2 linked regions of the Caenorhabditis elegans genome follow. The protein of the gene in region 2 purifies or fractionates together with the protein of the main gene of each other region. This does not show direct contact. Each region holds a gene or a part of one and is shown on either strand. Other genes may lie near its edges. The genes, in order: kap-1 and kin-2.

Evidence for each region.
Region 1: the proteins of kin-2 (region 2) and kap-1 purify together in Caenorhabditis elegans (affinity purification with western blotting, with the first as the bait; one study listed by BioGRID). This does not show direct contact.

What each region holds. Positions count from the first base shown.
Region 1 is NC_003281.10:7,337,075-7,344,213, reverse strand, and holds kap-1 (Kinesin-associated protein), read right to left. Parts: upstream 5,214-7,139; coding exon 5,144-5,213; intron 5,080-5,143; coding exon 5,007-5,079; intron 4,561-5,006; coding exon 4,323-4,560; intron 3,968-4,322; coding exon 3,856-3,967; intron 3,764-3,855; coding exon 3,618-3,763; intron 3,565-3,617; coding exon 3,426-3,564; intron 3,380-3,425; coding exon 3,292-3,379; intron 3,162-3,291; coding exon 2,807-3,161; intron 2,457-2,806; coding exon 2,238-2,456; intron 2,152-2,237; coding exon 2,027-2,151; intron 1,981-2,026; coding exon 1,778-1,980; intron 1,392-1,777; coding exon 1,324-1,391; intron 1,277-1,323; coding exon 1,076-1,276; intron 746-1,075; coding exon 641-745; downstream 1-640. Other genes in the region: F08F8.6 (uncharacterized protein), read right to left, coding at 1-16, 405-443; gsp-2 (Serine/threonine-protein phosphatase PP1-beta), read right to left, coding at 6,025-6,147, 6,377-6,511, 6,559-6,672, 6,722-6,936, 6,995-7,139.
Region 2 is NC_003284.9:5,971,741-5,979,641, forward strand, and holds the start of kin-2 (cAMP-dependent protein kinase regulatory subunit), read right to left. Parts: upstream 6,115-7,901; coding exon 5,994-6,114; intron 5,935-5,993; coding exon 5,852-5,934; intron 5,072-5,851; exon of another isoform or gene 4,933-5,071; intron 2,544-4,932; exon of another isoform or gene 2,522-2,543; coding exon of another isoform or gene 2,444-2,521; intron 2,172-2,443; exon of another isoform or gene 2,056-2,171; intron 1,929-2,055; exon of another isoform or gene 1,794-1,928; intron 1,465-1,793; coding exon 1,258-1,464; intron 1,194-1,257; coding exon 1,080-1,193; intron 1,034-1,079; coding exon 920-1,033; intron 876-919; coding exon 761-875; intron 695-760; coding exon 491-694; intron 128-490; coding exon 1-127. UniProt on the Caenorhabditis elegans protein: Controls the rhythmic contraction of enteric muscles probably by regulating G-protein coupled receptor aex-2-mediated calcium influx in GABAergic DVB neurons.

The sequences.
Region 1 (7,139 bases), on a different chromosome or scaffold from region 2:
TATCGATCGTTGTTGTCTGAAAATCCGATTAACATGAGAACTGCTAATGAGGTTCCCAGCCACGATGCAACTAGATTCCACTTCAAATTAAACGTGTCAAGTATTAAGAAACCATCGGTGCATGAGAATGTCTACTTTCTGGCGCGAAAATGGCGGCAGGAGAGATTCTTCGGATATCTAGAGTAATCTAATTGTAAGAACATGCGGCGATGAGAATTTAGGTACCTTCGCTACGAGATATTCCCGCGCCAAAACGGTAGGCATTCTCATGATCTCATGGTCTCTTAATAATTTCTCTTATTTTCTTCTGTGGCATTTTTGAGTCCTAGACTCTTTCAAGTACTATATGTGTCCCCATTCACTCCACCTTTAAGATTCACAAGATTGAAAGTTTCACAACTTACCGAAATTATTGCAGTTGTAACATTTGAAGAATTGTTCATTTTTGAATAAAATGAAGCAGTCACTTCGAGGAATGAAACACTAAATGTGAAACACTACATGGCCAGAGAAAATTTGACCTTTCAAAAGATAAATATTTATACGTGAATTTTGTTTTAATTTTTTGCATATAAATCAAAACATTCATTTATTAAGTAAAAATATATAATTTGTAGGTTAAAAAAACAACAAACAAAAGTTAAAAAAGGGGCTCATTCATATCAAATCCATCATCATAGTGATCAAATTTGAGATCAGCTCCAAAATCTTCATCATCGTAATCTACGAATTCGCTGTCGTCTCGCTGGAAAAACGATTTTTAACCGGTGACTTTAGAGCCTATATTAATGTAATGTAACTCAAGCTGCATTACTGCTATCCTGTTTCTACCGTAACACTCACCGTAAACTACTAAATAGATTCATTTAAAGTAATGATGTTTTTGATACATATTTTTAACGGGATAGTCAGAGTGTCTTCGTTTTTGAAAGTATTTTTATACAGAAATAAAACTAGGAAATGCTAGTGACGTTAAATTTCCAAAACCTTGTATAGTATATTTGTATAGTGACCAGTATCATAATATTATTTGTACCAATCAACGAATAAATTGTTAAAATAACTACGATCATACCTCAACCATCTCCAACCATTGTGCATTGTGCCATTTGAATCTCTCTCCAGCTATCCGTTTTGCCCATTCTTTTGAATGTTCACCCATTATCAAAAGGGCATTATCGCAAACTTCTCGAACCACTGCGTTTGCATCGTGCATCAAATCGATCATATGGGCTCCGAGAGCTGAATCTTGAGTCATCAGGCGAGCAGATAGTTCCTTTGAAAAATTTATATGAGAGTTGAAAAAACTCTAAAACGTTATACCTTGTGCTTTAAAAATTGCAAGAAAACGTAGAGAAGTTGCACAACAAACTCATCATCAATTTGGCATGCTGAAAAAAAGATTGCGATATTTTTCAGTAATTTATTTGTATTCTCGATACACCCAAAAAAGATCAAAATGACACCAGTAAAACACTTCAAAAACGTTAGATTTTAAAAAAGATTTAGCTGAAGATTTGTTAATTTGCCAATTACTTCCAAAAATATGTACTTTTTGAGTAATTTTGAACATTTTTACATGTTCGATTTCCTAGAATGTTCAAATACAATTGAAACACAACTAGTTTCAATAATTTCCATTTTGTAATTTACCAACTGGCAAAGCTCCACCTTTAAATCTGATTGTGAGGAAAAATGAACTTTTATGTTTTCAAAAGTTACTGGGGTTTTATTATGAAACAAACTCTTAAAAAATAACTTAAATTTATGAACGTACATTGTAATAACTGCACAAATGTATCAATCAAAGGAGCCAATAACCTAGCTGCATCCAATTGCCTAGCCATTGTTCCACAAGCAATTACAATTTGTAGTTGGAGAGGTTTTATGTCTCGAAGTACTGTCACTTCTTCGGATTCATCAATTCCTTCTTGAAGTTGAGTTTTCATCCAAGGAACAAGATTTTCAGATTGAATTATTCTATAATTTAAGTTTTTGATTGGAATTCCGAACTCAAAAAGCTCACTTTGCCCACGGAGCAACTTTGAGCTCAGCAACTGTACCCATGCATTCTAAACCAAATGAAGATTTTGACTCTGAGTTGTCTGCTCCTTCATTTTTTGCAATCCCGATAAGAGTTTCAATCCACTTCTGAAAATTCTAAATTTAAATAACAACGTTCATTTTTTTTCGTTATCTATTTTCACCGTTCAATAATAATTCAGTTCTCAACTTACCAAAAACATATTCTGCGTCGCACCTTCGTGACTTGAAATCGCTCGAACAACCTTTATGAGCATTAGATCTCTCGAGTTGATAGACATTTCCATAAGAAGATCTAATCCTTGACCACGTTGTCCACATACCAACTGAGCATTTCGTTTTTCGAGGCAAATATTCAACAGGACTGCTTTTGTCACTTCACTTCCTGTTCCACTTAGCACATCTTTCATTAGCTGGAAAAATGTTTTTTTATGAATCATATCCTCGTAGCAAACGTTGGAAAAATCGGTGACTATTTGCTATGTGGCGTTATATTTAGGTTTAACAAAACATAGACCCGAGGTAAGTAGATTTTGTCTGAATTGCTATTTCAATAATGTTCAAACAATTTCAAAAAAAACAATTGATTCACAAATAAAGTAGCTCAAACGACAACCACTATTCGAATGCAAACTTGAAAATAATATCAAAAAATTTGAAAAGTTTTAGTATAGGATTGGTTTTTAACAATTTTCCACTTGCGTTTTTCCATCTTTAATGTATAGTAACTTTTCGACTATCTCCTTTGATTGACCCAACTCACCAATTTAATAGCATCGGTGTATGCTAACATTGCTTTTGCATCATCATTACAACTTAATAAATACATCATATTCAATGCCTTCGTGTCACTGTCCAATAGAGATGCCATATGTGGTACAAGACCTCCATTCACCATTTTTGGTAGATTTTTGGAGTCAAATGAAAAATTGAAAAGAAGCATTATAACTGCTTTTCGCAGTTCTGGATCTTGAATTGGAAATAGTTTCAAAAGTTTTTCGATTGTTCCATTTTGTTCCATTACAATCTTATTTTCATCAAAAATACTTAATTTAAGAAGAAACTTGATAGTTGCAGTTGTTAGTGAACTTGTAGATTCTGATGACATTTGGAGGCATCTAGAAATGTAAAATGAGTGAATGTGGTGTTAATTATTAAAGGTGGAGAGATTAAAAAAAACTGTGAAAAGTGTTACTATGATATTTCAGCATTTTACAATTTCCTCACTAACTGCGCCTTTAAACTCACTTGACAAGAAGTGCCACCAAATTTCTTCGGACCATTTTCAATTCGACACTGATATCCGTGGCTAGATTGGTAAGAAAAGTGACACATGCTGGAATTGAACCATTTTCAATGTAATATGTACAATTGCAACAAACCTGCCAATAGCATCGCCTGTTTTCGAATGGCTGTTTTTAGTTTTCTCAATGTCTCTTGATCCGTCTTTTTCATCTCAGCAATCCAAAAATCGTACCGTTTTGTTTCATGTTCCATTGCATTTACACATAAAGTACCAATCTGCAAATCTAGCTTTTAAACGAAATTCAGGTGAAGTGAAGGCGTTTAGAAACCATGCATGCCTTGTGATGAAGCAGAATTCCGTGTAAACATGAAAACTTGGAAATATTCACAAAAAGGTTCATAATATTGGTTCCAACTTCAAAGTGTTTCTTCCAGTCTTCTCGGAATACTCTTGCCAGTGCCATCATAAGAGTTTCTGAAATGTAGTGTTATTTGAACGTTAACTTTAATACATAGATTACGTCCGAAAATTATGGTCATCGGGTAAGCTTTTCTAGAATTACCTACCATTGTTCACAAGCTGTGTGAGGTTTTGAGGATTTTTTGAAAGTTCATAAAGTGCCACGGCTCCTTTGTTTTTCTCAACAGAAGTTTCACCGTAGAAGCATTCTATGTACTCCTGAAAGATACATTTTTAATTTCAAAAGTAGTTTTTCAAGTTCTATTTGGTTTTAGGCTCTCACCATAATAAGAAATCTGTTTTTATATAAATGTTGAATGATGTATAGAAAACCATTCAAAGATTATTTTAAACTAATCAGATTATTTTCGAAATAAATTTTTAGATTCTAAAATATTGGTACTACCGGATACAAAAGCACTCAAGCGAGCTTGGTTTTGTTTCAGCTGCTCCATTTTAGAACATGTAACAATTAATGTTTTCAATTTTGATATAGCCTATGCGTATTTGTAAAATAAAACCAAATGCTCCTCAACTTTACGTAATCTACAAAATGTTTTCTTATAAAACGTACATCTATTTTCCCTAATTCTGCACTAATTGTAGGACTATGAATAGGCCTTCGATCAAATGAAACGGCCGAAGAACTTCTTGATCTCGCACTTATTCGTTGATTTCCTCTTTTTTGAATGTAGAACAAAACCTGCTCCAATTGACTTCGTGACGTGGCAGGAATGAAAAGACATTTTTGAAGAATAACATTTGATAAAGCACGAATATCTACATCCAGACTCATTTCTTTCAAGTGGATTCTGTAATACAATTTGGGTAATTTTGTAGCCGTACAATGTTAGATGCAGGTGACATTTTGAGGTTCTCATATATATATATATTCGATTATTATTTTTTATCAGTTATTTTCCAATATTCTAAAAATTAAAGAGGCATGGATTCATGGGGAATGGGTCTCACAGCGAGCAAAATGCTCAAGTCAACACTTTTTGCTATTTTCGGTCGTGCGTTTTCTGTTATTCGGGGTTTTGTGAGCAATTATTAAATAACTTTTCTGTATCTTGATTGTGGTTTTTGCAACAGAAAAAATTTAAAGTGTTACCATAAACATTTTTCGCGGTGAGACCCATCCGAAAGAATACGTGCACCTTCGTGGGCATACGGTCTTAAAAATATTTTATTTTATTTTTCTTGTTAAGCAGATTTGCATTCCAGTTTAATTTTATATTTTATATCAGATTCTTACATTTTTTGATGGCCAAGAGACTCAACGTTCGCTGAAGAAGCTCGCTTTTTTATTGAAATTCCTGCTGAAGAACCTGAATCAAACTTCCAAATAATCTTCGTAACACATTCAATTGAAAATAAAAATATAAAACTTACTAGGAGATTGTTCAAATCGTACAATAATTGCCTGATCTGACGGGTGTGCATCTATTGAAACTTGATTCATTGAGCTAAACACGGAAAATCAATCGAAAAAACTCAAAAAATATTTCTCTTCATTCTGATTACCTATTATAGCTTACTGAAGAGCCGGGGCGGAGCATTTCTGAATAACTGACAAACGACAGAAATCGATGAGACGGCTCGAGGAGCACTAGTCGTGGGGGATGTCTGTTCGTCTCGCACGCTCTCCTTGGAGACGTTGCACTCGTTGTAATAAGAAATATTGCTTACACGCTTGTACCAGTGTTCTATTTTATTTGTTCGGAAAACTTTAATGAATTAAATCGACAAATGGGGGTTTTAACAATATAAAATTGAGAAACGAAGAGTACGGGATGGACGAATGAATGGAGGAAGGAAAGGAGTGGAGATTGATTGACATCATAAACATTTGTTTTAAATATTTAGACCATTTAGAGAAGTAAAATTTGATACTGTTTTAAGAGATAAGTTTAGCAAAAAAAATTAAAATTTGGAATTTAAAAACGAATAAAATGGGGATTGTTTTGATGAAAAATTGAGCCAGCAATTGGTGAGGAGTCATTAGCTCTAAATGGTCCACAGAGATAAAGAGGAAGGGATGTTGACAACGAAAGCTTGAATTGAGAGGAGATTCGCCGGGACCACAGCATCTTCTCGTGCCAGCCTAGATCATAATGAATCGAATTTAAACTTTTTCGAAACTATGTTTAAAATCAAAATTAATGTACACAACTTTTTGAAGCCGATTTACGAGAGATGGCCGAGGCCTCTTGGGGCGTGAACAACAAAGAAAAGGTTAGGTATTTACAGATGATAGATAAATCGACTGATGATTACTTCTTGGCACCCTTCTTTGGTTGCGCAGCCGGTGCGTTTCGTGGTGGGGTGACTGGTCTATTTGAACCAACTCCTCCAGCACCATATGGATATTTCTTCTTGTCTGCTGGTTTCAAGATCTGAAAAAAATATTCCGAATTGTTTTATTTTAATGTTTGATAGGTAGTTTTAGCGTTTAATAAATCACCTCAGACAAATGCCTCAATTTCACCCCGCTTAGCGGCAATTTCTTCGAAGAACTCGAATAGATAGCCAAAATAGACTCGTCTGATTTAACCATTGCATCATTGGTGAATGCATACGCATTATCAGTATTTAAAATTATATAGATGGTACCGCTATGTTTACCTGGAAAGAGCACATCAGTGTTTCATCGACAGTCATCATCGATCCCGCGTTATCAAACTCTCCACAATAATTAGGAGCGCTGAACAATGTAACCAACTGCCGCTTAGCGAAGAATTCGTAACCGTCTTCCACAACCTGAAAATTTCTCGGTTCGCAACTTTGCAGAAAATCTTAAGTAATACCTGGTGAGCTCTGCAAATCAAATCCAAATCGTGCTTGTGCAGGAATTTGGCAACAACTTCTGGTCCGAAAGTGAAAGAGACGCCTCGGTCGTTTTCTCCCCAGCCAGTGACATCCTGAAAATAAATGGTAATCATTCATTGAATTTTATGTTCACAAACGAACTTTATCAGGATCTGACCACAACAGATCGCACAACAATCCTTGATCTGGTACGTCTGTCGGCCTCATGATACGACGAATTTGCTCCATAGACTGAAGATCTGGAGAAAGTCCTCCGTGACAGCAGAAGATCTTTTCGTCGATGATGGCGGCAACTGGCAGGCAGTTAAAGCAATCGGTGAACGTCTTCCACAGTTTGATGTTGTATCGCCGCTTGCCTAAAAACATGAGATTTGAATAAATCTGTACTAAGATAATCTCAGATCAAACTCTTACACTCGTCATAGAAGCCATAAATTCTGTTGATCGAGGCACACTCGTGGTTTCCTCGGAGCAGGAAGAAATTTTCCGGGTACTTGATTTTATATGCAAGTAGGAGACAGATAGTTTCCAACGATTGTTTCCCTCGGTCCACATAATC
Region 2 (7,901 bases):
TTCAGGATCTCACGAACTGGTCCCATGACACGTTCGAAGCGGTTACGATCCAGCTTGATGCACTTGAGATGGGTTTTGGCAACAACGGTGGCGGCACGTGGGCGGTCGAGAAGAAGAGCGATTTCTCCTGAAATTGTGACATTGAAATAAAGCTTTCATTCAGGCGTCGACAAGGGTCGCGACCCACGCCTACTGATTAGTGCGGTTCAAAAATCAAAACGTGTCGGGCTCTGGTGCAAACACCAGGGTTTTGATTTAACACCAAAATGCAAAGCGACGTCATTCCCTGAAACCGCGCCTGCATTTCATGAAAAGCCTACATTGATATATGAAGTGTCACAAAAATCTTGTCTAGAGTTATATTTCAATAAAAAAAATGTTTGCATTTATTGAATCACCCGCATATTGCCAAATACAATTAGTTTTTTGATCTTTCCATGTTTGTTCATTTTTTTTCCAATTTTTCTCTTTTTTTCTGATTATTGCTCACCGAAATAGTCCGACATTCCAAGATGTCCGACAACGTCGAATGGTGCGTCGTCGCTTCTCTTCTGCAACACATTGGCTTCTCCCTCGAGAATGATGAAGAATTCGTCTCCGGGTTGTCCTTGCTCGACGACATGAGTTCCTGGCTCGAAGTCGCATCTCTCAAGAGCATCAGCCACGTTAGCGCGCTCCCACTGGTCGAGATCGGCTGAAAGATGATTGATGAGTCTCGGCTTAAGTTCATTTTTCTTCTCTGGTTCTTCAATTTACTTACCCAAGATTTGAACCTTGGAGAGGAACTCGTCATACATCTTTCTCTTCTTTGTTACTGATCCCATCAAGATACGACGGTAGGTGAGACGGTCGATGGCCCACAATTTCACGTCGGTCTGGAAGAAAATATATAAAATGAATTTGAGTGGCATTTTGCCACCTTGGCAATGACGGTTGCAGCACGTGGAGTTCCATAGATCAAAGCAAGTTCTCCAAATGATCCACCCTCGTTGATGGTGAGAACGTACTCGTGATTGACGTAGACATCAACGGTCTTAAATATGAAAGTACGGATAAGCTCTTAGAGAGAAGCAACTCACTCCCTTATCAATAACATAGAAGTTATCTCCTTCTTCTCCCTGTTCGATGATGGTCTCTCCAGCAGACTTCTCAACTGGGAACATGGCATCGTACATGGTTTTTTGCTCATCCTCCTAAAAACCAAAAAATTGAATAAAAATTTAATGTTATTAGAAATTTTTTTGGGAATTTATTCACCTCCAAATGAGCAAAGAGCAAGTTCTTCCTCATGGCTGACTCAAGCGACCTTCTTGTAGCATCATCCTTTGGAATCACAACCTTCTTGTACTCGGTATCGTCCTCCTTGATTGGTTCGGCAGAGATTCCGGTTCTGCGTCCACCTGATCTCTTTGGTGGCTCCACAATGATGTCGTCATCATCAGCAGCGTCCGGATTTCCTCCTTCCTGAAATGTTAAGATTTGATAAGGAAAGTTTGAAAATAAAAGATGTGCAAAATAACAAACCATTTTGGAATTTTCCTGTTTCAGTTAGTTCAGCGACGGAAAAAATGAATGAAAAATCAAAATATAAAATGACCAGAACCAGTTCAGTCAATTACTGACCCTCTGCTATTTTTTTTTTGTTTCGACAAAACGTTAACCTTGAGGTTGGAAATTGTAAATCGGGAATCGTATTAAGTGGGCCACCAGGTAATGTAAATTATGTTACGCCGCAAACTTACTTGTTTCTGTTTAGCAACAGGGCAACCGTCTCCGCCTGTCTATTTGCGCAATAAAAACAACACAGCAGAAAGTAAATACACCCACTCGCTCACTCACCCGGTACATGTTCAACTCCATTTTTAAGGTGTGAACCACTGAATTGAAAATGGATTGGAAGAATTTTTCAATGGAAAGAAGCAAGAAGAAAAACGCAAGGAAATATGAAGTGCGGTGCACACTGAGCCAATCTATCGCCGAGCGAGCTGCCGCGCCGTCTAATGTGCTTCAAATGCGTACTCGTAGCTCTCGCAAGTCTCTTCGTCCTACAATTTTGCTAGTGCTCCATCAAGGTTCCAGCGCTTCCCCTTTTTTCATTTCATTCCACGCCGCTCATCATTCATCCGTCGTGACTGAGATTCGATCATACTAGCAGACACCTGGTTACTTTTGTTTCTGTTGTGCAAAACAATTTCTTATTTTTGAGGTCTCCCTTTATTTTTGTTTTTTTTTATTTCTAGAAGTTTGCAGAATCCGTTTAAAATTGCCTAAAAAGATCAGGTTTTGAACAGTTCAAATTTCTAACTTGATTTTTTCAAGAAATTTTATTAAATGTGATGTTTGAAAACATAGAAGCCATTCTAATCAGAGAATTAATTCGAACTACGCATGAAATCCAAAAATCCATAAGAAAAAAGTGATTATCCTCTCAAAAAACTATCACCTTAGGCTTTGGAGTCTTTGCGTTTTTTGTGGCGCCCACAGATTGCGAGTTTCGTCGGTTGCTCAATTGCTGCCCCATCACATTCCTTGGTGGTGATACTCTGACAATATTGATTAATAACTTGGTTAAAAGAATAAGAAAAAGTCTATGTAGGTGAAAAAAGAGGAATGTAACGGCAATTTTCTAAGAAGCAGATGTTTTGGAATAAAACATATCCATGGAAACCAGAGTTGTGGTGAGCAGTCAAATAAATATTTGAAAAAACAAACACTATGACTATTGTAAATGAAGGAACACGTCAGGAGGCAAATAAGGCAATTGTGTGTGCGTCGAACTTTCAACTACAACAACTATGACAAAACATTGAGTAGTATGTTGTAGTTGGAGGTAGAATGAGAAGGCTAAAAACAAGACGAAAATCAAAATCGGACCGGGTTTCCACATGAGACCTAATTGAAGGCGTGTGAATGTTTTTCTTGCTGTGGTAGCGCAAAATGAACGAAACAGAAAGAGGGAGAGGAAAGGACGGAAGAGGAAAAAGTAAGAATGTCAATATCTGAAAGAGCTTTGCCAGTTGTATTTAGTAGGTGGAGGGCACAACGACTTCATGCATTTTTGTCTCAAGCAACCGGCAATTTACTATAGCAGCCGCAACATTTAGACAGAAAATAAATAGTCTCGAATTGTTCCTCTATTCTTACTCATGTTGTTTTATGAAACAACAAAAAAAAATTCAATTTCAGTATTTCTAAGAGTAACTATTTAATTTCTGATTTGTCGCATCGAAGTTAATTTACGATGAGTGTATTGTGCTCACAGAGAGTATTATGCACACATTGAGAAATATCCAATAAATGACAAATTCCCTATCTTAAAAATCTGCCACGTTATTCTTAGAATTCATAAAAGTTTCTGTGGTACAGAAAATAAAAATCAGCTGATTTTATAGAAAATGACACAATGATAACGTTCGAGGCATTTTTTACGTGGAGAAAAACAAAGAGAATGGTATGACTAATATTTCAATTCGTTTGAAAAAAAAACCCATTTTACTAGTTTTCGAACATATTCAATAAAACCTCGTAAAAAACGAGCTATTTATTCGAATAGTTTTTCTCTCAAAAATCAATAAAGTCATTTAGCATCAGAAAAGCGTGACTCTTTTCATTCTCTCCATTTAACTTGGCATCGTTCTCTATCTCTGAGGCGGTCATAAAAACACTCGGCCGGATAGAAGCTGCCTTCGGGGCAAATTTTATTCGATTATTGAATTTGACAGACAAATATAACGAAAACGAGGCGGAGAGAAGATAGAAAATATCGGAGTATGCACTTCCTAGTTTTTCGAAAATAAAAGTTGTAAAACTTTAAAAATGAAAAAAAAATTGTGTATCAGCATTTGCCAAAAAATTTTCATAAACGAGTGTTTAAAATAAACTATTTTTCTGGGGAAGCGGTTGGAAAGAAGAGAGAACATAAAAGATCGATAAACGTCCGAACAGTATGCAAAAGAAATATGTTGAGAGACGCAGGAAATGGAAGGTACGCACACTTTATGGTCCTTTAGTGAATGGCATTGGCAAATTTAGTATGTTAAATTTCAAAACTTAGTTTTCCATTTCAAAATTAATATTTCTATTTACAATTTCAAAAAAAAATACAAACGTTCAAATTTTTCAATAGAAATTTAAACACACTTTTTTAATGACCACATTCCAAAAAACCGCCCCAATTCGATTTTGATAAGCTGTGTCTAAAACTGAAACACATGTGTACAAAAAAAGACATAAAAATTGGAGTGTGAAAAGTGGACTCGAGTGTTTTAGTTTTATTGTGTTTTTTTGAATGTTCCCAAATTGAAATTCTAGAGCTCCGAACTTTTTGTGTTGTTTTTCATCATATATATATATATATATATATAATCGTTTCGAGAACCTTTTCAGAATGTTGCAAGTAACGATGACGTCATAAAAAGTTTGTAATACCTTATATTTCCTGGATTATGACTAATGTTGTTTTTTGTTTGAAGCGTTTAAAATTTGTGACAGAAAAAAAAGCAAAATGTTTTGGAATTTTAAAAATTAGGTGTCAGAGAAAAAAAAAGGTTAAATCTAGAATTTCACATCTTCAAAGAACGTGACAATGATGTTTGGTTCGTCGTCACTGTTACTGTTTCCTCTTCCCTTTCTTTCACCTGACCTCCTAAAGATTTATGACTAGTCTTTTGACTTTTGTTATTTTTGTGAAAATACTACCTACTTCAATTATTTTCGAAACAAAAATTCCAGACACAAAATGCGAGGGTGTTGAAAAAACAACGGAGAACAAAAAGCATGGAGCATTAAGGAGCGGCAGAAGGAGAAGAAAAATGCGATCGTCCGAAGAGCAACGAAGAGCAAGAGAAATCTGCCCCGAGGCCTTCTTCATTCTTCGTCACTTTCTCTCCGCTTCACAAACCGGACCCGAAAAAAAGGGAAAAGAGCTCGGCAGCTGAGCCAATGGCTGCGGGCGCTCGATGCTCGATGGACAGCTCTGGAGGGCTCATTGGGACTCGTCTCAAAGGGCCCATTCTCTCAATTCTCTTCGTTTTCGTTACGCCTTATCCGCTCTCTTTCATCCTTTCGTTTTCCCAGCTAACTAGTGCCTCTTTTTCTTCTTCCTCTTCTTCTTTTTCTTCTCTTTCTCCAGAGGACCCCGACGGAAAAACGACATACACAAGGCTTGCTTTCTATGAAAAAAAGAAGCAACACAAGACGAAAAAAAAAACGAAGTGAAGCTTCATTTTCATTGATTCGAGCCATAAACGCGGAGGAATGACGAAAAAGACACAGGAAGATGTTTGACCTAATTTGCATTTTCCAGTTTTTTCTCAAGCTTTTTTTTGCAGTGCATCTCATTAAAAACAAGATCGAAACAAAAAATCATGACGCTTGGCTCCCACAAAACCGGATAAAATATTCAAATATTTGAAGCGAGTCAAACGAGATTTTCGATGCCTCAAAAACTTGGTACTATGAATGAGAATAAAATAACAAATTTCACTGATCTAGAACAATGATATAATTATAAAGCTATGTGAATTTCAAATTTGAAAGTCTGAAACCGAGTTTCATGGTTCAGAAAACACGAACAATTAAATAAAAATCCTGAAGAATTGTAAAACCCCCATCACAAATTGTACTCAAAACGTTATAATACGCTTATGCAACACTACGTTTTCCGATAAGAAGAACCGTTTCAAAACGCAACAATTAACTTTTTTGGCGTACCACGTCAATACTCTTTCAGTGTCAGCAAATTTGAATACTTTTTCTGGTCATAATTTCGAACTGGTTCTGTCATTCTTCTCACTTTTATGTTGAAAATATTTTTTTTTTCAATTTCTAAATTCTCTGCAACTCAACTAACCTGTGCTCGTTGTTCGTTGAGTTTTTCAAAATGATCCTTCAAGAAGAGAACCGGGTTGTCGGGTTTGTGTATGCACAGAACAACTGGAAAAATCGTATTCTTACTTTCGTGTTATTATTTTGCTAGATTTTCAAAAACTCACCAATTGCTTCTTTGACAAGCTGCTGAATGTTGTGTCGTTGCACATAGGCCTGGCATTGTGCCAACTGATCCTCTTCGTTTCCACCCGACATAAAAACAATGTCACCTGAATAATTGTTCATAATTTTCAGTCATTTCTTGTTTTAAACAAACAAAAGAGACAAAAATGCGAGAAAAATAGCAGAAAACACACGTTTGAAATGAGATGAAAACTTGGTGGGGAAGGTAACAGACTTTTGACGGGGGATGCCGCGGAAAAGAGCGAGATGAGCGGTTACCGAATGAATGCTGATACACCCGCCAGTGTACAACATTTTGGAAAATCTTGGCACACAGCCTTCCCAGTAGATCAAAGCAGAATTGAGCAGCAAAAAAAGGAAGAAAAAGTGGAGAAGAAGGAAAAAACAGAGAGGAGGAGCAAGAAAAGAAAATTGATACCCAAACTTGGTTGAGCGAGAGAACGAGAAAAGAGAGAAAAGAAAAAGAGAAAAAGAGAAAAATCAGATAATTGATTTGTTGAAATTTGAAGACAAGTTCAGTTCATCACTTTGATCACACAGATGGTCGGAAAGTAAATATGATGATTGATGGTGATAATTAGCAGAATGAAAAACGTCGTCGCGCAAGTACTGAGACCGGAAACTATAATTTAAAGATAAAGGGAATTTCCTCTTTTGATAGGAGATCAACGGTTACAATATGTCGCGGAAACGGACGAATTTGATTTGAGATTTTTTTGTTTAATTCATATAGAGTTACAAGCAGCTACAAATGTATAGAAATAATTTTGATGTATACGGTTTTGAATTGTTTGCATGTATAGACTCGAAATGTACTCAAATGAACTTCTCAAAAAATAAATAAGCTATTCCGTTCGAGGGGGCGTTTAAAATTTGGGAAACACTTTTCTGCGTTGCAAATTAACTGCATTAAAGTATCATTTGTATTGCATATTTTTATAATTTATCTCACGTTTTTTTGTTAATAAGGGTGCATTTAAAGTTGATAGGTTACCAAACATAATTGAAATTCAGTACTTATCGGCTTTTAACACACTTGAATCAACTAAATAATGTGAACCAAACAATCAATAAAAATGATAATTCCATTAAAAAATATATATATAATTTTCATTCTCTGCAACTTGGAAACTTTAGCAAAACTGGTGAATCTATCAATTGTTGGTCTTTTTTGAATTTCGAATGCTAATTCGAGCCCATTTTAAGTACAAGCAAAAAACAGCAATTATTTGTTGTTCAAACCCTATTTTTTAGAAAATGCATTTAATACCTACGAATGCTAACTTTTCTCTCGCCTCTTCCCCCTCCCTATGCGGTTTCTAGGCGGGTTTGTAAACCTTTTTGCATGCGAGAGAAACAAGTGATGATAATAAACTAAACTAAACGTTCAGAAATCAATATCACAATGTGAAAATGTGAAAATGACCTATCGATGAAATCGAGGGTGTCTTCATGTTATCGCCCAATTACAACGGGGCATTTCCCCTCGGACTCTTGCTCTACACCACCCGTGGCCTTTGGTCTTTGGCATATGACGTAAATTGAAATAGGAACAGGGAGAACTGAACAATATTTTTTATCCTATTGCATGCTGGTAATCAAGTTAGCATACCAGCCGACTCTCAGCTTATCTTTAATCCATATAGGCTAATCTGTCGGATTTTTGGTACAAAAATGTAAAAGTTTTGTTGGATAAAAAGCAACGTTTCTATATTATACGGAACGCATCAAACGGGACAAAAAACTGAGAAATCGCGAAAAAGCAAAGCAAAAAGGAGAAGGAGCCCTATGAATCATGGAAGAAGCGTGAGGAGACAGAGGCAGGGACAACGACAACGACGACGCCCGGGGAAATTGTTTTTTTTTTTCGGCGTCTTCTTCGTGGAGCG